Linked DNA regions of Callithrix jacchus. The protein of the gene in region 4 binds, or shares a complex with, the protein of the main gene of each other region. Links are inferred from orthologs where the notes say so. Each region holds a gene or a part of one and is shown on either strand. Other genes may lie near its edges.

What was found. Proteins that work in one complex are often made in the same cells at the same time.
Region 1: the proteins of AGT (region 4) and DPP3 are in contact, whole or in part, in a crystal structure (PDB 5E2Q), measured with the Homo sapiens proteins. The link is inferred for Callithrix jacchus from reciprocal best matches to the Homo sapiens genes AGT and DPP3. Residues at the interface, in NP_001369746.2 of Homo sapiens: Asp25, Arg26, Val27, Tyr28, Ile29, His30, Pro31, Phe32; in NP_005691.2 of Homo sapiens: Phe109, Glu316, Tyr318, Glu329, Phe381, Gly385, Ile386, Pro387, Ala388, Gly389, Ile390, Asn391, Ile392, Asn394, Arg399, Val412, Leu413, Val415, Ala416, Phe443, Val447, His450, His455, Glu507, Glu508, Asn545, Arg548, Leu552, Glu555, Phe556.
Region 2: the proteins of AGT (region 4) and REN are in contact, whole or in part, in a crystal structure (PDB 6I3F), measured with the Homo sapiens proteins. The link is inferred for Callithrix jacchus from reciprocal best matches to the Homo sapiens genes AGT and REN. Residues at the interface, in NP_001369746.2 of Homo sapiens: Asp25, Tyr28, Ile29, His30, Pro31, Phe32, His33, Leu34, Val35, Ile36, His37, Asn38, Glu39, Lys91, Leu92, Ala95, Met96, Met99, Leu100, Phe103, Arg107, Arg148, Ala151, Ile152, Gly154, Gln353, Gln354, Asn355, Asn358, Glu391; in NP_000528.1 of Homo sapiens: Tyr81, Met82, Thr84, Gln85, Val102, Asp104, Gly106, Ser107, Asn109, Ser118, Arg119, Leu120, Tyr121, Thr122, Val125, Tyr126, Leu147, Arg148, Tyr149, Ser150, Pro181, Ala182, Leu183, Pro184, Met186, Leu187, Ala188, Glu189, Phe190, Val193.
Region 3: the proteins of AGT (region 4) and ANPEP are in contact, whole or in part, in a crystal structure (PDB 4FYS), measured with the Homo sapiens proteins. The link is inferred for Callithrix jacchus from reciprocal best matches to the Homo sapiens genes AGT and ANPEP. Residues at the interface, in NP_001369746.2 of Homo sapiens: Val27, Tyr28, Ile29, His30, Pro31, Phe32; in NP_001141.2 of Homo sapiens: Gln211, Gln213, Ala351, Gly352, Ala353, Met354, Glu355, Arg381, Val385, His388, Glu389, His392, Glu411, Glu418, Asn438, Arg442, Phe472, Tyr477, Ile864, Phe896, Ser897, Asn900, Gln903, Ala904, Arg907.

The regions. Positions count from the first base shown.
Region 1 is NC_133511.1:123,577,782-123,582,463, forward strand, and holds part of DPP3 (dipeptidyl peptidase 3), read left to right. Parts: intron 1-859; coding exon 860-1,022; intron 1,023-4,682. UniProt on the Homo sapiens protein: Cleaves and degrades bioactive peptides, including angiotensin, Leu-enkephalin and Met-enkephalin. Also cleaves Arg-Arg-beta-naphthylamide (in vitro).
Region 2 is NC_133520.1:31,434,918-31,439,840, reverse strand, and holds part of REN (renin), read left to right. Parts: intron 1-86; coding exon 87-205; intron 206-1,173; coding exon 1,174-1,370; intron 1,371-3,994; coding exon 3,995-4,003; intron 4,004-4,568; coding exon 4,569-4,688; intron 4,689-4,923. UniProt on the Homo sapiens protein: Renin is a highly specific endopeptidase, whose only known function is to generate angiotensin I from angiotensinogen in the plasma, initiating a cascade of reactions that produce an elevation of blood pressure and increased sodium retention by the kidney.
Region 3 is NC_133507.1:18,950,970-18,955,006, reverse strand, and holds the end of ANPEP (aminopeptidase N), read left to right. Parts: coding exon 1-39; intron 40-438; coding exon 439-520; intron 521-2,149; coding exon 2,150-2,302; 3' UTR 2,303-2,674; downstream 2,675-4,037. UniProt on the Homo sapiens protein: Broad specificity aminopeptidase which plays a role in the final digestion of peptides generated from hydrolysis of proteins by gastric and pancreatic proteases.
Region 4 is NC_133520.1:19,931,123-19,936,637, forward strand, and holds the start of AGT (angiotensinogen), read left to right. Parts: upstream 1-2,128; 5' UTR 2,129-2,165; intron 2,166-5,507; 5' UTR 5,508-5,515. UniProt on the Homo sapiens protein: Essential component of the renin-angiotensin system (RAS), a potent regulator of blood pressure, body fluid and electrolyte homeostasis.

The DNA of each region.
Region 1 (4,682 bases), on a different chromosome or scaffold from region 4:
AGATAACAGCTCAGAGTGGTTTCGTGACTTGTCCAAGGTTACACCGCCTGTAAGTGACAGGGCCCAGCACTTTGCAGAGTGTCGTAGTCCGTTTTGTGCTGTTGTAACACAAAAAAATACCAGAGGCTGGGTGATTTATAAGGAACAGAAATGTATTTCTGACAGTTCTAGAGGTGGGGAAGTCCACGATCAAGGCACCAGCTAGTTTTCTTGTCTGGTGAAGGCTGCTCTCCCCTTCTATCCAGGATGATACCTCGTTGCCAAAATCTTTGGAGGAGAGGAATGGGAGGAATGCTATGGCCTCACAGAGTGGAAGGCAAAATGGCAATAGGGCCAAACGGGCATGAAGCCTGTTTTCCTTATTCTTTTTTTCTTTTCTTTTTATTTAGAGATGAGACAAGGTCTCACTATGTGGTCCAGGCTGGTCTCAAACTCCTGAGCTCAAGCAGTCCTCTCACCTCAGCCTCCATAAGTACCAGGATCGCAGGCATGAGCCACCATAGCCAGCCTTTTTCTTTTTTCTTTTCTTTTTTTTTTTTTAATAGAGATAGGGTCTTTCCATGTTGCCCAGGCTGGTCTCAAACTCCTGGGCTCACTGTTCCCCCACCTCTGCCTCCCAAAGTACTAAGATTACAGGTGTGAGCTGCCACACTAAGCCTGAAGCCTCTTTTATAAGGGCCTTAATCCCATTCATGAGGAAGAAGCCTTAATGGTTAGGTTGAAACTTAACCATAAGTTTCAACACCAGAATTTTGGAGGGGACACCTTGAAACCATAGCACAGACTGTCCAGGGCTGAGCACAATCAGCTATGGCCTGTGGCAGAGCCCATCCTAGACACTTACTCCATCCTCCCACAGGTGCTGAAGTCCACAGGGGATGTGGCTGGAGGCCGGGCCCTGTATGAGGGGTATGCAGCGGTCACTGATGCGCCCCCCGAGTGCTTCCTCACCCTCCGGGACACAGTATTGCTGCGTAAGGAATCTCGGAAGCTCATCGTTCAGCCCAACACTCGCCTTGAAGGTAATGGACTCTTGAGCTCCTTTCATGGGGACCACACGGGGCCCTATGGGGAGCATGAAGAACCCACCCAGGGGCTCATGGAGAGCAGCCAGCATGGTCCTTTCCTTTCTGTCCCACCTCCAGGGTCCTTCCCATGCCAAACCTCAGGCCCCAATCTTGGTTTCTGTCACTTCACCAACCCCCAACAAACACAAGGTCATACAGGTTGTAAGACAGTGACAGAAGATCTGAAGAAGACCACCAGAGCAGAGGATAGCAGAACATGCAGACGGGGAAGCCAGGCATTCGTACCAAAGAATTAGACCTGTTGGGTACCCAGGCTAGGGGTCAGGTCAGGAGGGAGCTGGGACCCAGCAAGCCTAGTGAAACCCAGGGGACACTGTGACTCAGTCACATCCGGGATGGTGATCAACAGCTGCATCATCCCTCTTCCTTCTCAAGCGACAGCACCAGAGCCTAGCCCTGGCTTCGTGGCACTTGTACCCTTCATATTCAAACGTCCTCGGGCCCCAGCACCTTACTGCCTTCACTTTCCTCTCACCCCTTGACTCATCTTTCCTGATACTTGTCACTTGAGACACCTAAGACAATGTGATGTTATGGAGTGGTTACAGCCCCAGCTTCAGAACTGCCCTGTGACCTTGGCCTAGTCACCTGGCCTTTCTAGACTTCGGTGTCTTCATTCATAAAGCCAGTGTGGATTGCTTGCTGATATTATAGTGAACCTCGATTCCTTCCTGTGGTTTCTAAGTGCTTTCTGGGGATTCACCTTTTAAACCCTCACAATAGCCCAATAAGGTAGGCATTTTTGTTATCTCCATTTTACAGGTAAGGAAACTGAGGCCTAGAGAGTAATTTGCACAAGGATTATTCCTTTTTAGTAGAGGAGCCAAGAATCAGATTAAGAGTGGCTGAGTCGGCCAGGCATGGTGGCTGACGCCTATAATCCAAGCACTTTGGAGGCCAAGGCAGGCGGATCACCTGAGGTCAGGAGTTCAAGACCAGCCTGACCAACATGGTGAAACCCCGTCTTTATTTAAAAAAAAACAAAAAAGAAAAGAAAATAAAAAGAGTGGTTCAGTCAGGTGTGGTGTCCCCTGCCTGTAGTCCCAGCTACTTGAAAAGGTGAGGTGGGAGGATCACTTGAGCCCAGGAGTTCAAGGCTGCAGTGAGCTATGGTTGTACCATTGTGCTCCAGCCTGGGTGACAGAGCAAGACCTCAACTCTGAAAAAAAAGCATTGTCATGGGCAGTTATGAGAGTTTAATAGAATAATATTTGTAGAACGTCATTACCTACTATTGGTGAGGAAAAAGCATTTATTTATTTTTGTTTGTTTGTTTGTTTTGAGATGGAGTCTCACTCTGTCACTCAGGCTGGAGTGTAGTGGTGCAATCTCAGCTCACTGCAACCTCTGCCTCCTGGATTCAAATGATTGGCCTGCCTCCTGAGTAGCTGGGATTACAGGCACCTGCCACCACACCTGGCTAATTTTTGTATTTTTTTTTTGAGACGGAGTTTCACTCTTGTTACCCAGGCTGGAGTGCAATGGCACAATCTCGGCTCACGGCAACCTCCACCTCCTGGGTTCAGGCAATTCTCCTGCCTCAGCCTCCCGAGTAGCTGGGACTACAGGCACGCACCACCATGCCCAGCTAATTTTTTTGTATTTTTAGTAGAGACGGGGTTTCACCTTCTTGACCAGGATGGTCTCGATCTCTTGACCTCGTGATCCACCTGCCTCGGCCTCCCAAAGTGCTGGGATTACAGGTGTGAGCCACCGCGCCTGGCCAATTTTTGTATTTTTTTTAGTAGAGACAGGGTTTTGCTATGTTGGCTAGGCTAGTCTCGAACTCCTGACCTCAAGTGATCTGCCCACCTTGGCATCCCAAAGTGCTAAGAATACAGGCGTAAGCCAGCACACTTGGCCTTATTTATTTTTATTTATTTATTTTTTTTTTTGAGACAGGGTCTCACTCTATCACCCAGGTTGGAGTACAGTGGTGCGACCTTGACTCACTGCAGACCTTGACTCTGCTTCCCAGGCTCAAGTGATTCTCCAGCCTCAGCCTCCCGAGTAGCTGGGACTACACAGCCACCTAAGTTTTATATTTTTTGTAGAGATGGGGTTTCTCTATGTTAGCCAGGCTGATCTCAAACTCCTGAGCTCAAAGTGATTCACCCTCCTTAGCCTCCCAAAGTGCTGGGATTACAGGCATGAGCCACCATGCCCAGGGGAAAAAGCATTTATTAGGATGCTTGACTTGGCGCTGTGGCTCACGCCTGTAATCCCAGCACTTTGGGAGGCCGAGGCGGGAGAATTGTGAGGTCGGGAGATCAAGACCATCCTGGCCAACATGGTGAAACCCCATCTCTACTAAAAATACAAAAATTAGCTGGGCATGGTGATCTGTACCTATAATCCCAGCTACTTAGAAAACAGAGGCAGGAGAACCACTTGAACCAGGGAGTCAGAGGTTGGAGTGAGCTGAGATTGCGCCACTGCACTCCAGCCTGGTGACAAAGCGAGACTCCCTCTCAAAAAAAAAAAAAAGGCTCATTCTAGATGCTTTTCCATGCCCTCAAGAAGCTTACGGGATTTGGCCCCAGCCCTTGCCAGCCTCACTGCCTCTTCCCCGGCTCCCTGTCCTCCAGGCTCCTGACCCTTCTGTTTCTTCTACCCCCTGAGCTCGCTCCACTCCTATAGCCTTTGAATAGACTGTTCTCGCTGCTTGGCATGATCTTCCTCCAGATCTTTGCCTGTCTGGTTCTTTTTTTTTTGAGACCAAATCTAACTCTATTGCCCAGACTGGAGTGCAATGGCACAATCTCCACTCACTACAACCTCTGCCTCCCAGGTTCAAGTGATTCTCCTGCCTCAGCCTCCCGAGTAGCTGGGATTACAGGCATGCACCACCACGCCTGGCTAATTTAGTATTTTTAGAAGAGATGGGGTTTCACCATGTTGGCCAGGCTGGTCTCAAACTCCTGACCTTGTGATCCACCTGCCTCGCCCTCCCAAAAGTGCTGGGATTACAGGCGTGAGCCACTGCGCCCAGCTGCCTGTCTGGTTCTTTTTGTCCTTCAGGTCCTTGTAAAATGGCACCTTGTGAGAGAGGTTGTCTCTGACCCCTCAACCTAAAGTACCTGCTTCAGTCCCTCTCTGTTCTGCCACCCAGCTTCATTTTCTTCATGTGCCCATCACACTTGCCCATTTTCTTGCTGGTCACATCTCATGATGGCAGGAGCAGCATACCCCAGTGCCTCATGTACAACCTGGCACACTGGAGCTGCTCAGTAACTGTTAAATGAGGCCAGGCCTGGTGGCTCATGCCTGTAATCCCAGCACTTTGGGAGGCTGAGGCAGGTGTTCAAGACCAGCCTGACCAACATGGCAAAACCCTGTCTCTATTAAAAAAAAAAAAAAAAAGATTCGGCCAGGCGCAGTGGCTCAAGCCTGTAATCCCAGCACTTTGGGAGGCCGAAGCAGGTGGATCACGAGGTCAAGAGATCAAGACCATCCTGGTCAACATGGTGAAACCCCGTCTCTACTAAAAATACAAAAAATTAGCTGGGCATGGTGGCGTGTGCCTGTAATCCCAGCTACTCAGGAGGCTGAGGCAGGAGAATTGCCTGAACCCAGGAGGCGGAGGTTGCAGTG
Region 2 (4,923 bases), about 12 Mb from region 4:
CCAGCCATACCCACAATGCACCCTGCCTCTGAGTCCCCCTGTCTGGGCCACTCTTGGACAAACCCGAGCCTGCGTTCCCCTGCCAGTGTATCACAAGCTCTTCGATGCTTCGGATTCCTCCAGCTATAAGCACAATGGGACGGAACTTACCCTCCGCTATTCAACAGGAACAGTCAGTGGCTTTCTGAGCCAGGACGTCATCACTGTAAGTGGGGCCGCCATAGGTCATCTGCCCCCTACCCCTTCTGTTCCCAGGCCTCTCCTGACCCTCCAGGGCCCACACCTGGGGGAAGGTGCACTGCAGCCCACTTGAAGCCTGGGGAGCTAAGGAACACCGTGCTCTGCCGCATCTGACTGGAGCTGCAAAATAGCAGTACCTATGGGGGAGCAAGCCTGGGCTGCGGGCTCACCGTTGGGTGACTTATGGAGGCTTTTGCATCTAACTTAACTTTAATCTAACGCAGGGCTTGTCCTGAGCCCCACGGCTGCAGTCAAGTCACTTGTCCAAGTTCACCAGCTCTGACTGGGCTCTTAGCTACACCTTAGACTGAAATCCAGGGGCAGAGGCAGGGGCAGGGTGAGTTTTAGGGTCTGGCATAGGTTTTAAGGTTGCACTTGAGGTTGACCTTGGGAATTAGGTCAAGACCTGCTTTTCTTTTTCATTTGGCCCATGTCTGACCCTTTCCTCATGCTGGAGTTTCTCAGCCCCTGCTCTGTCACTTAGGGGAGGGGTACACATGGGACCTGAGAGGAAATCCGGGTGATTCCTGCCTCCTTCCCTTTTTCTGTGAACTCAGGTATAAAGGAGGAAGAAGGGCAAGCTTGGTTGTGCTGGAGAAAGTCTTCGCCCATGATAAGGGAGAATGCCAAGACCCAGTACGGCCGGGCATGAAAGCTAGACCACTGGGGAAGGGGAGGGGAGATTTGGCAGCTTTACCACCCTCTCAACCTTTGCTGTCCAGTCCCTGGTCAACTCCAGCTCTCTCTGGGTTCCGCAGCAGAGATGTGTATTGGCACAGAGTGTGTGCGTGCAGAGTCTAGGAAATACTCTTATCCTGATTTCTGTACCCTGGAGCATGTGTGCCCCTGGGATCCCTAGTGTAGAAGCCCAGACCAGACTCTGGCCAAGGAGTGGGCAGTGGGCTTGGTCTCCTCTGGTCCTTCCTCCCACAGGTGGGTGGAATCACGGTGACGCAGACGTTTGGAGAGGTCACGGAGATGCCCGCCTTACCCTTCATGCTGGCCGAGTTCGATGGGGTTGTGGGCATGGGCTTCAGTGAACAGGCCATTGGCAAGGTTACTCCTCTCTTCGACAACATCATCTCCCAAGGGCTGCTAAAAGAGGACGTCTTCTCTTTCTACTACAACAGGTGGGGACCGGGACCCCAGGGACTCCAGGGACACCAGGGGCTGAGGTGGGGGAGGAGAGGGAAGAAGAGCTGGGGAGTGAAAAGGGAGCCTGGGCCAGAATTGTTTGTGAGTAGGTGACAGCCAGTCAGTATCTAGAGCTGCATTAGCAAATATGGAAGCCACGACTGAAACGTGAATTTATTAGGTACAGTTAAGCATCAATTAAGCATTCAACAGGTGCCTCTTAGTTGCACTAGCCACATGTCAAATGCTTGGCAGCCATGGTGGCTGGTAACTACGGTCTTGGACGATGCAGATAGAGAACATTCCCAGCATGGCAGGACATTCTATTTATTTATTTATTTTTTGAGATGGAGTTTCGCTCTTGTTACCCAGGCTGGAGTGCAATGGTGCGATCTCGGCTCACCGCAACCTCCGCCTCCTGGGTTGAGGCAATTCTCCTGCCTCAGCCTCCTGAGTAGCTGGGATTACAGGCACACACCACCATGCCAGCTAATGTTTTGTATCTTTAGTAGAGACGGGGTTTCACCATGTTGACCAGGATGGTCTCGATCTCTTGACCTCGTGATCCACCTGCCTCTGCCTCCCAAAGTGCTGGGATTACAGGCTTGAACCGGGCCGGCAGGACATTCTAATAGACGGTACCACTCTGGAGGAAGAGGAGATGCCAGGTGGGGGTGATGGAAAATAAGGTGTTTCTGTGACCTGGAACCCTGCCTGTGAGGGCCATGGCTCCTCCCACACAGAGACAGCCCACTTCAGTCATCCATTAGATCCCTCATTTGCTTGTTTGCTCACTCACCAGTTCAGTAAATGCTGTGTGCCAAGCCCTGTGGTAGGCTCTGGGGGTACAGCAGTGAACATAGTGATCAAGGCAGAATCCGTACTCCTCTACCCACATAGCGCTTACAGGCTAATGAGGAAGACAAGACATATTCCAACGTAATGAGTGTCACAGGCAGGCAGCGAGTGTGCTGCTGAAAACCATGGATGCTTTTCAGTTCTAGGCTGAGCTTATATGCAGCTCAGCCAGCCTTGGGGAAGCTGTTGTCAGCTCTTGCACAGGGTTGGGTTTTACTCCAAACTGCTGGGTTTAGGCAGATGGCATGAGTTGGAGATAAGAGGGGCTGGGAGCAGTGGCTCACGATTGAATCCCAGCACTTTGGGGAGGCCAAGGTGAGAGGATCACTTGACCCCAGGAGTTAAGGCTGCAGTGAGCAGTGATTGTGCCACTGCACTCCAGCTAAGGCAACAGAGTGAGCTCCAATCTCAAAAAAAAAAAAAATCACAAGGGTGAGAACACAAGGCCAGTGGCAAAAAGAATAGAGGAGAGGAGGTCAGGCTCAGTGGCTCATTCCTGTAATCCCAGCACTTTGGGAGGCTGAGGTGGGTGGATCACAAGTTCGGGAGTTTGAGAGCAGCCTGGCCAATATGGTGAAGCCCCATCTCTACTGAAAATACAAAAATTAGCCAAGTGTGGTCGCACACATCTGTAGTCCCAGCTACTCAGGAGGCTGAGGCAGAAGAATCGCTTGAGGTGAGGCAGAGGTTGCAGTGAGCTGAGATCACACCACGGTGCTCCAGCCTGGGCAACAGAGTGAGGCTCCATCTCAAAAAAAAAAAAAAAAAAGAATAGCAGAGAGGACTGGAGTCCAGAGACATCTCAGAGTGAATGGAGAGGAGTCTCTGGTTTAGTGATGGAAAGGGAGGCCTTGAGAAAAAGCCAATTGGTGGCTCTGCAGTTGGGGTGGTCTTCAGAAGAGCGTTTTAGAGGAGGTGGGGACACGGCCAGATGGCAAGCAGTTAAGAGGCAGATGTGGGTGTCAGGAAGTGGAGGTCATGAGATGTAGGCTGCCCTGGGAAATTCAACAGTGAAGGGAATGGGGGTGGTGTGTGGGGTGAGATCCAGAGCAGGAGAGGAAGGGTGGGTGTTTGAAAATGCTAGAGGACGCTCGAGTGATGCCCGTAGGTGGAGGAAGAAGCCAATGGAAAGAAAGAGATAAAAAATGTAGAAAGAGGAGGAGCTAAGTGGGGGCACCAGAATTGGAGGTCATGGAAGAGAGGAGGATCCAGCAGACAGGAAGAAGCCAGGCTTTCAGAGGAGAGGGCCGGCCTCTTCCTTCATCTTGGGATGGGAAGGAGGGAACACCTGGAGAGATCCTAAAGTGTTGGGAGAGGAGCAGGAGGGAAGTTGTGCTGGCACATATGCATCGTTCCGAATTTGTAGAAACACAAGCAGTCTGCAGTTGCACAAAATAACATATGGACACCTACGCACCCATGCACACATTGTGCATGTGTGAATTCTAGTATGAATTCTGGAAAAATACATCCCACACACATGCATGCCCTGGAGAACAGGCCTATAGTAGTCCCTGAGCCAAGTGCAACGTGGAGGAAAGGAAGACGAGGGGAATCAGCTCCAGACTGGCACCAGGGGTCTGGCTCCAGCGCCACACTTGTTCACTCATGGCCTTGGTAACTTCAGGCAGGAGACTTCACCTCTTGGTGACTCCATTGCCTGGAGAGCAAAGAGAGTACATGACACCCACCCTGCCAAACAGCAGGGCTGATGAGGCTTGCATAAAATGAAGCGTCCTTTCCGCTGTCTCTTTCTCTGCAGAGATTCCGAGTAAGGAGAAAGAATCCCCACATGGCTGTGACCTTCCAGTATTCCCTGAGAACCTGACCTAGAATCGCACACACCACTGGCCCACAGCTCGAATCAGCAAGCCCAGCCTCCACTAGATCCTGAAGTTCTCTGTCCCTCCTCCCAGCTCTCTCCATACCCCCCACCCATCCCACACCCAACATCCTCCCCAGGGTCCCCTCCCATGCACTGCTCAATCAGCAGCAACCCAACCCCCGAGCGAGGGGCGTCCATTTGTGTCTTGTTCAATCTGCTCGCTCTCCTTGGACCTGCACCTTTTCTGTGACCTCTTTGGGGATGCTTTTTGGGGCACAGCTGGACTACCCTGGAACACCCTCTGGTTGGGCTTGGGGAGGGGCAAGATAGGCAGAGAAGCAGTAGGGCCTGCGTGCTCCCCAGCAGCAGTCCGCGCTGGCTGGCTGTCACATATGCCTCTGCCCTAGAGCCCTCTGTCCTGCCCTGCACCCTTGCCCAACTCTCCCCGATTGCCTGAGTCCCTGGGTCCTGGAAGTTATGGGTTTCCAAGAGTTTCTGATCTTTCTTTTAGGAATTCCCAGTCGCTGGGAGGACAGATTGTGCTGGGAGGCAGTGACCCACAGCATTATGAAGGGAATTTCCACTATATCAACCTCATCAGGACTGGCCTCTGGCAGATTCCAATGAAGGGGTTAGAAATCCTCAACACTCCCCAGGCTCCAAAAATTGCTGTTATCACTGGGGTTGGGGTGGGTGGGGAAGGGGGATCCTGCCCTCTTTCCGATGCAGCCACTTCTTAAGCACAGCCACCATTTACTCTCTGCCTGCTCTGTCCAGCCTGGGGAACAGAGAAGGGAGGGGGACCTGGGGAGAAGCAGTGGAGGGCGACAGTACCTTCCTTCCTCCACTCACGGCCTCAGTGGGCC
Region 3 (4,037 bases), on a different chromosome or scaffold from region 4:
GGACTTTGTCCAGAGCAACTGGAAGAAGCTCTTTAACGAGTGAGTCTGTGGAGAGGGTGTCAGGCACAGTGAGTGCCGAGGCTGGGGCCCAAGGGGTGGCCTGTGTGCATGGGACATGCTGGGGACACTGTCCAGGAGTGGACAAAAATCAGCCAAGCCTGGGGGCTAGGGTGGGGACAGGAATGAAAGACAAGCTGGGGTTTCCCACTTGGAAGGAAAACGTGGCCGGTGGGAGTATTCTCTGGAAGAGAGCGGAGCTCAGAGGTGGGCAGTCAGGTCTATTCATGCTGTGACTCCCCTGTGTCCTGGTATCCTGGAGGGACCTCGCAGGGCGTGTCGTTTCATCTCTTCTAAGATCATGGCTCCCTCCCCAGTAGGTGTGAGGAGCCCCTGTAGGTCCTGGCCTCCCTCACGGTCCACCTCTCTCCCTCCCTGCAGTTACGGTGGTGGCTCTTTCTCCTTCTCCAACCTCATCCAGGGAGTGACGCGACGCTTCTCCACTGAGTATGAGCTGCAGCAGGTAAGAAGCCATTCCCAGCCCTGGGCTCCGTCGGCTTCCTTCCCAGGCCAGAGAGGTCCTGCATTCTTCCCCCACTGTGGGCCTGAGGGAGCACGGGCTCCCCGCTGCCAGGCCTGCCTCATTTACAGAGGAAGCTGAGTAGCCAGACTATGGAAATGTTAACAGTTCGATACAAAAAAATCATCTTGGGATTTTTATATAGGCACAAAAGGAAAGAGTGGTATAATAAACCTCCATGTGTCCATTACCCACGTTCAACAGTGACCAGCATTTTGCCAGTACTCTTTCTGGGCAGTCAATTTTAAAGCAAATCACTGACGTTACCTAATTTTACCTCTAAATAATTTATTCATATGGAAAATAAAGGCATTTTTTTTTTTTTTTTTTAGACTAAGTCTCGCTCTGTCACCCAGGCTGGAGTGCAGAGTGCAATCTGGGCTCACTGCATTCTTGCCTCCCAGGTTCAAGAGATTCTCCTGCTTCAGCCTCCCAAGTAGCTGGGATTACTGAGATGGTGCCACTGCACTCCAGCCTGTGCAGCAGAGCAAGACCCTGTCTCAAAAAACCAAACCAAACAAAAATCACTACTGTTTAATTCCAGAACACTTTTATTACTCTAAAAAGAAATCTTGTGGCCGGGCACGGTGGCTCATGCCTGTAATCCCAGCACTTTGGGAGGCCGAGGCGGGTGGATCACGAGGTCAAGAGATCAAGACCATCCTGGTCAACATGGTGAAACGCCGTCTCTACTAAAAATACAAAAATTAGCTGGGCATGGTGGTGCGTGCCTGTAGTCCCAGCTACTCGGGAGGCTGAGGCAGGAGAATTGCTTGAACCCAGAAGGTGGAGGTTGCGGTGAGCCGAGATCGCGCCGTTGCACTCCAGCCTGGGCAACAAGAGCGAAACTCCGTCTCAAAAAAAAAAAAAAGAAACCTTGTACTCACTAGCAGTCACTCTTCACCACTAATTTTTTTTCTTTTTCTTTGCACATCATACAATCAATGCTTCAAAATTCACCATTGATTTTTTTGTGTATTCTAGTGTATAGGAATACACCTGATTTTGTATCCTGCAACCTTGTAGAGATAGTTAGTTCTAATAGTTTTTTTTTTTAATGGATTGCTTTTGTATCCTACAACCTTGCAGAAATCATTAGTTCTAATAGTTTTTTTTTTAATGGATTCCTTAAAATTTTATATATGCAAACATGTCATCTACACGTAGTTTTACTTCTTCCCTTCTGGATCCTTTTATTGAAGCAACTGGATCATTTGTGGTTTAGAAATTTCCATATTTTCGATTTGGCTGGTTGCTTCCATGTGGCATCTGTTTCATTAGCTCCTCGTTACTCTCTTGATGAGATTGATATAATTAAATATTAAACATGAAGGCCAGAATCCTTCCTGAGCCAGGTTTTGCCAGGGCCTGTCATTTTGCAACCTCTGTGTTAACAAGGACTTTGCCCGGGAGCAAGGTGGACGCCTTCCCTATCCCTGGAACAGGGTATGGTGTGGTTCCCATCTCTGAGGACTCTCATGTGGGAGTGGGAAGCCAGAGACCTGAGAGAGCCCCTCCTCAAGGCTGTATTGGGACCCAGCCCGGGGCTGAGAATCTTTGTTTTTCTGGCAGTTGGAGCAGTTCAAGAAGAACAACGAGGATGTAGGCTTCGGCTCAGGCACCCGGGCGCTGGAGCAGGCCCTGGAGAAGACAAGAGCCAACATCAAGTGGGTGACGGAGAACAAGGAGGCGGTGCTCCGGTGGTTCACAGAAAACAGCAAATAGTCTCCAGACCTCACAGCTACCTGGCCCCATGCATGGGACTCATGGCATCTAGCCCATGTTCTCTCTGCCTGTGAGCCAGTCTAGTTGCTGATGATGAGGCTGTCCGAGCACCTCCCAGTCCCTGCCCCTTGTGCCAACCCTGCCCCAGGCCTGGCATGATGCCTGTTGCCCAGGACCCCGGGGCTGATCTCAGGGAAGCCCCGCTCCAGGGCCAGATGAGCAGGAGCTCTTGGTGGACAATGGACGGCCTGGGGAGGCCGCCCTGTACCCCCTCAAACCTTTCCCAAAAGACCCCAAATTGGAGGAATCACCAGGGCAGCAGATCTTTTTATTTTTTCTAAGAGAAAATGTAAATAAAGGATTTCTAGATTAGTTTCGAGACTTAGGACTAAATTAAAGCAGGAGTGGGTCAGCACAGTGGCTGGGGAGGCTGGGTGGAGGGAAGCTGGGACCCCCGCCCCAGCACAGGAGGGGACACGCGCCCACTGGCTGTGCAGTGGTCCGTGCCAGTGCCTCCGTGCCTGCCTGTAGGGCTGCAGGCTCCTTTCCATGACACCGACTGAGCTAGCCCAAAGCGTGCAGGGCTCCTTTAATCCCTGTTCTGATTGATGGCAGCTAGAGATTTCAGGTGGTGGGAAGGCATCACAGGTGGAGGGGGGGCAGTGTGGACCCAGTGCTCCCACAGTGAGCCGGGAGAAGGGCCCGGCAGAGCACAGAGAGTGCTCTCCAGGAAGCACGGTCCTCAACAGGAGGCAAGGGCGCAGGGTGCTGGCCATGCCCCTCTTCCTGCAGCACGGGAACACCTGGGACGCTGCAGGAACAGGTCAGTGCAGTAAAGGCAGCGAGCGTGCAGTCCCAGACCTGGTGATGCCACTCACTGGCCAACGGCACCAACTGCCTCTTCAGGCGCCGTGGTGGGAGGGTGGAGTGGGGGAGTGGGTACCAATGCGTAAAAGGGTTGTTGTCATGTCTTTTTTTTTTTGAGACGGAATCTCACTCTGTCACCCAGGCTGGAGTGCAGTGGCTCAATCTCGGCTCATTGCAGCCTCCGCCTCCTGGGTTCAAGTAGTTTTCCTGCTTCAGCCTCCTGAGTAGCTGGGATTACAGGCGCACGCGACCATGCCAGCTAATTTTTGTATTTTTAGTAGAGACGGGGTTTCCCCATGTTTGTCAGGCTGGTCTCGAATTCCTGACCTCGTGATCCACGTGGCCTCCCAAAGTGCTGGGATTACAGGTGTGAGCCACCACAGGGTTGTTTAGCACACAGGGAGGGGCTGGGCTGAGGAGCACGGAAGCCATGGGGGGTGGGGACAGCTTTGCCAGTTTCATAAAGGAGGGTCTGTGCCCTCCACATCGCCTGGGGCAGAAGGCGGTCAGAGCCAACTCTGAGAAGGCCTGGGACCCAAGCAGCTCCATGCACACATTGGCCCCAGTGGGCATTTCTTGACAAATGGAGGCAGACTGTGGCAGGCTCCCTTCAGCCTCTGCCCCACAACGCCCAGTGGAACATCCAAGGCTGAGGGGAGGGACAGAAGGTGAGAACAGCCGGACGGGTAGCTGGGAATCACCTCCAAAGGACACCTAGGCCAGCTCCGCAGGCTGGAATCCTGGAATCCAGTAGGCCTGGTGTCAGTTTCTTAGACAGAGGACCCACATACCCCAGCCTCGGTCTCATCTGCACTTCGAGGCAGTGTGAGAGCTGTTGGGTTGGCTTGTAGACTGAAGGAGATACATG
Region 4 (5,515 bases):
ATTTCTTTAAAGAGGAGCTCACAACTCAATGTGCCTGCATCTCTTCCGTGCCCTCAGCCTGACCTCTCCTGCATGCTTCCTGAAGCCACTCTGCAGCACACCAGTGACCTCCTGGGAAATGACTGGCTGTGAAGGATCTTGGGAGAGGCATCTGAGCACCAGTGGCTTTAAGCCATCATGACACACTGCCTCAAAGACCTGGTTCAGCCCCAAACTCCTCCTCACTTTGCAAAACTCTCCTCCTTGGCTTCCAGAACAGCATCTCTTTTTTGCACTGTCCCTTGGACCCCTCCTCCCCGACTTCTTTCCCTCCCCCCACTTTTGGATTTCTGTCCTCTCTTCTCTCCTCAGGGAGAAAATGTCTCCACTCACAGGACTTGAACTATATCCTGATGCATTTTCCTCCCTAAAAAAAAAACAACTGTTTCTCTACTCACATTTGTGAAACCAAATGAGTGGAGGATTTTCCAATACTGACCAATTCTCCAACTCTTCAGACACCCACTGGGTTTTCTACAGTTCAATTCCAATATTAGTTGCCTGGGGTTAGTGCAGTCCCTGCGGGTCAAGGGCTCAGTACAAGACTGCTCCCAACTTCAGACATCAATTTTGAGTAGTTGGTCCCCAGGTTACCCACACTTCTGTCTGGCTTGGCTACAAATCAGAGGTTTCCATGACCGCTTCCTCATGTTTTATTAGAATGGCTCACAAAAATCAAGGAAACTTTTTATTTACATTTACTGGTTTATTATAAGGAATACAAATGAACAGCCAGTAGAAGACACACACAGCCTGAGGTCCACAAGGGTCCTTTTTAAGAGACAGGGTCTCACTTTGTCATCTAGGCTGGAGTGCAGTGGCATGAGCATAGCTCACTACAGCCTCAAACTTCTAGGCTCAAGTGATCCTCCTGCCCCAGCCTCCCAAGCAGCTAGGACAATCAGTGCATGCCATTGCATCCAGCTAGTTTTATTTTTTATACAGATGGGGGTCTTGCTATGTTGCCTAGGCTGGTCTCAAACTCCTGGCCTCAAGTGATCTTTCTGCCTTGGTTTTCCAAAGTACTTGGATTACAAATGTGGACCACCGCACCTGGCCCCTGATCTCAGTGAGGAGCAGGTTTCTCCATGTGTGTCAACCCCAGCTCCTTGAGAGTGTGGCCTAAAGTCCTTGGTCCCGGAGGCTCATCAGGAAATGTGACAGTGACTGCAGAACCTCATGGCCACTGTGGCCAGGTGGCAGCAGCCGTTTGGCCAGGTCTCTCCTCCTCCAGCCTCCTGTCCAGCACCCAGGCCCGCCTGTATTCCCCCACGCACCCCACCCACGCTCTCCCTCCTGTTGGTGAGTGCCACTCAAGCCTCTGCCTCAGAAAAGCCCTTCTGTAGCTTCCGAGTCAGACCAACTTGTTCTCCAGGTGCAGCTCCAGCAACATCTCTTGCTGGCCCCTCCCCAGCTCTCACCAGTGAAGGCTTCCTGCATCCTGAAGGCGTTTTGTTGGTGTCTTTTAATCTGGCTGTGCTATTGTTGGTGTTTAACAGTCTTCCAGCTATGTTGGAAGCTTCTAGAAGGCACTTTTCACTTGCTTGCGTGTTTTTCCCAGTGTCTATTTGAGGCCTTTGCATGGGGTAGGCGTCAAATGGCTGGAATAGCTCAAGGTCATACAACCCATGAACGAGCAGTGGGGTCAGAAGTGGCCCCCATGGTGCCTGAGCACAACTCTCCCTGCCCTTTGCCCTTGGCACTCTGGTCTGCATGTCCCTGTGGCCTCTCAGGGGCGCGTCTCTTAGGGCTGGGTCAGAAGGCCTGGGCGGCTGTCCTCAGGCTGTCACACACCTAGGGAAATGCTCCCATTTCTGGTAACCTTGGCCTCCACTCCTGCAAACTTCGGTAAATGTGTAACTCGACCCTGTACTAGCTCACTCTGTTCAGCAGTGAAACTGCGCATCGATCACTAAGGCTTCCTGGAAGAGGTCCCGGTGTGAGCGCCGCTTCCTGGCGTCTGTCCTTGCGGCCAGCCTGTGGTCTGGCCAAATGATGTAACCCCCACTCCAGCCTGTGCACAGACAGCTTGGGAACGGCTCCATCCCCACCCCTCAGATATAAATAGGGCCTCGTGGCCCAGCCAGGAGAAGAAGCTGCCCTTGTTCCAGAGACTACAGCAGAAGGTAAGCCAGGGGCCCTTCTCAGCTCCTCGGCCTTGTCTCTCTCAGATGTAACTGAGTGGCAGGCCAGAAGTCCGGCGGGGGGCACGGGTGATGCCTGAAGCACCTCCCCCCCCTCCATAAGACCAGTCACCAGGACATGGGCTTCCCCTACTCAGTGCCCACCCTGGGTCTTATTGGGGAGCTGCTCCTCCTTAGCAATAGGACAAGAAGGTCAGGTCTTCCTGCTTCCACTGAGAAGAGCTGGGGTCCTCAGGGACGGAGCAGACTGGCACAGGAGCAGAGTTACCATGCCCAAGAGTCCACTGGCTCCTCTTGCCATCAGAAGGAACATCAGGGCTTGTGCAGGAAACGGGGCTGGAGGGAAGGGCCAGGCTCGGTCAGCCCCCAGCTGGGATCCCCAGAGTGGTCACTGTACCCCTCCCTTGAGACTGCCTGACTGTGTGTCATCAGGTTGGTCGCAGTCTCCGTCAACCTAGATTTGCCCGCCTGTAAAATGGGACTAATCATGATGCCCGGGCGCCCTCCCTAGGGGCTCTGGTAGAGCTGAAGAGAGCAAATATAGTGTGAAAGTGCTTTCTAAACTTTGGGATAAGCTAAAAGGCAGATTCTAATTTTATTCGAGGACGGCAAAGATTGGTGCTTAAGCTTGTGGATGACAGAGTCAGGGGGCCTGGGTCAGAGTCCTAGTTCTGTCTCTTCCCAGCTGTGTGACTTTGAACAGCTGGGAAGAGACTTTGACCTCTCTTCCTCTGCAAAACAGCATGAAGCAATGCATTAACTACTTCTCCAGGATGTACTAAGTCCCAGGGACCATCCCGGGAATGTGGGCTGTATCAGTAAACATGACAGTGAGAACCCTGCTCCCCCGGCTCATTCACATCAGAGCAAAGACGCTGGACAGAATAAGTGCGTAACTACACGGTACAGAGGGTTATCAAAAGAGAAAAGGGGAGCAGGATGAGAGAGCTGAGAGTGCCCGGCGTGGTGGGGAAAGCTGCAGGGTGAAATACAGCATCAAGGAAACCTCAGGGAAGGTGAGGACTGTGTTGAGGTCAGAGGGGTTGATATAAGAACAGTGCCCCGGAAATGACAGGCACCACGGGAGGGGGAGCTGCCATCCTCACCTTTAGCATTCAGCCCGGGAGAAGTGCAGGGACATAGAAGGGGTGGGAGCTGGTGAAGGGGCAGGGGCAGGAGGGGAGAAGGCGGAGGGGCACTCAGGGCGAGGGTGTCAGGCCCTTGGCTCCCGGGACTGGGCTGCGTGCAGACTTGGAACCAGCCTAGGGAGCAGCCACAGATCACAACTGAGAACAAACAGCAGTCTCTGCCTCAAAAATGGCCCATGGAATTGCATCTCGGGAGACGGTGCCTGCTCAGGAGCAGCACAGTGAGTGGCGGCACTGACCCGCACCATCCAAACCCTGGAACCCTCGGTGCTTGTCAGGCAGGACTTCCCAGCAGTCGGTTCCCACAGCTTTCCCCTGATGATCCGATTTGATGGGACTGTCTAGATTAGGTGTGAACTGACAACTGAGGCTTCTCTGCACAGAAAGGCCTGCTCGGAACAGGGAGAGTTTTCTGTTCTGTTTTTCCATGTCGCATGGCTCTTCCCGAGAACAGTGGATGGAGTCAAATACATGGGGATGGGGGTGAGATGATAGCTGAGGTCAGAAGTCAAAGTCTCTTTGGCAACTGAATGACTGGAGCAGACTAAAACACATCAGGCATGTCAGCAGATGCACCATGTTGAAGGCAGGTGCTGGTTACCAGTCTGGGTGAGGGAAGCCAGCGGCCAGTGTAAGAAGAATGACTGGATGTGCTTAGGTAAAGCAGAAAAATCTAGGCATCACGGTGACCTTGAGTCAGTGATGACATGCCACAGCTCCAAGGAAGCCCGGCCTGGCCCTGTGGGGACAGAAAAGGCTAACAAGTGATGATATTGCAGCACCCCCCCACACAAGAAATGAGTGAGACGTGGTACAAATTGTTAGAACTGGTTTTTGTTTGTTTGTTTTGAGACAGAGTCTTGCTTTGTCCCCCAGGTGGGAGTGCAGCAGCGCGTCTCAGCTCACTGCATCCTCCACCTCCTGGGTTCAAGTGAGTCTTCTGCCTCAGCCTCCTGAGTAGCTGGGACTACAGGCATGTGCCACCACTCTCAGCTAATTTTTTGTAATTTTTTTTAGTAGAGATGAGGTGTCACCGTGTTAGCCAGGATGGTCTCAATCATCTGACCTTGTGATCTGCCCACCTCAGCCTCCCAAAGTGCTGGGATTACAGGTGTGAGCCACCGCACCTGGCCAAACTGTTAGAATTGAAGGAATCAACAGAATAAACGTTCATCCCTTTGATTGAGAATAGTCAGATGAAACGAATTAGCAGGGTCAACCCAAGAACCTTCTCTTCCGGGATCTCGGGTTGCTTTTATTTGCAGCAGCTGAGGCTGAAGCACAGCACTGAGGTCTTTGAGAGAACACAGTGCCGGAGCTCCCCTGGCCCCCTCTGGGGACCCATGTCTAAGGCAGGGATTCTAAACCCTGGTTATGTATCAGAGTCACCCGAGATTTTTGTTGTTGGTGGTGGTGGTTTTTTTTTTTAATCTACACCTTGTTCCAGCACAGACTAAGGAATCTATCAGCGAGCAGGCCAGGCTGGGTATGCATGCCTTTGGGGCTCTGCAGGGCATAGCGCTGTGCAGGGATGGTTGAAAGCTGGTTTGGGGGTCGACACAGGTGGGAAATGCTTGGGCTTTGGGCTGAACCAGCTCAATCCTGGCTGTATATGAGGACCACAGGGAGATGACAAAACCATTCCCACGCCTCACCCTAGGGCCATTTAATGAGCATCTCAGGGAGTTGGTGGGCCTCCACCTACTGACTGGCACACACTTGCCTCTCTGGGATAGAACTTACAGCTACAGGCACGAGCATGTCTTGGTCTGCTTGGGCTGCCGTAAGTACCACAGGCTGGGAGCCTTCAACAACAGAAATGTGTTATCTCACAGCTCCGGTGGCCGGAAACCCAGGATCAAGCTGTCCACAGAGCTGCTTTCCTCTGAGGCCTACCTCCTTGGCCTGTAGACGGCCGTCTTCTCTCCGTCTCCTCACACGGTCCTCCCTCTGTGTGTGTCTGTGTCCTCATCTCCCCCTCTTATGGGGACACAGTCATATTAGATCAGGGCCCACCCTCGTGACCTTATTTTAACTTAATCATCTCTTTAAAGATCCTGTCTCCAAATATGATGACATTTGGAGGTCCTGAGGTTGAGGACTTCAACACGTGCATTGGCTCATGGAGATATTTTCCATGGAGTTTTGAATCCATTTCTTCTCTTCTCTTTTGTAGACACAAAT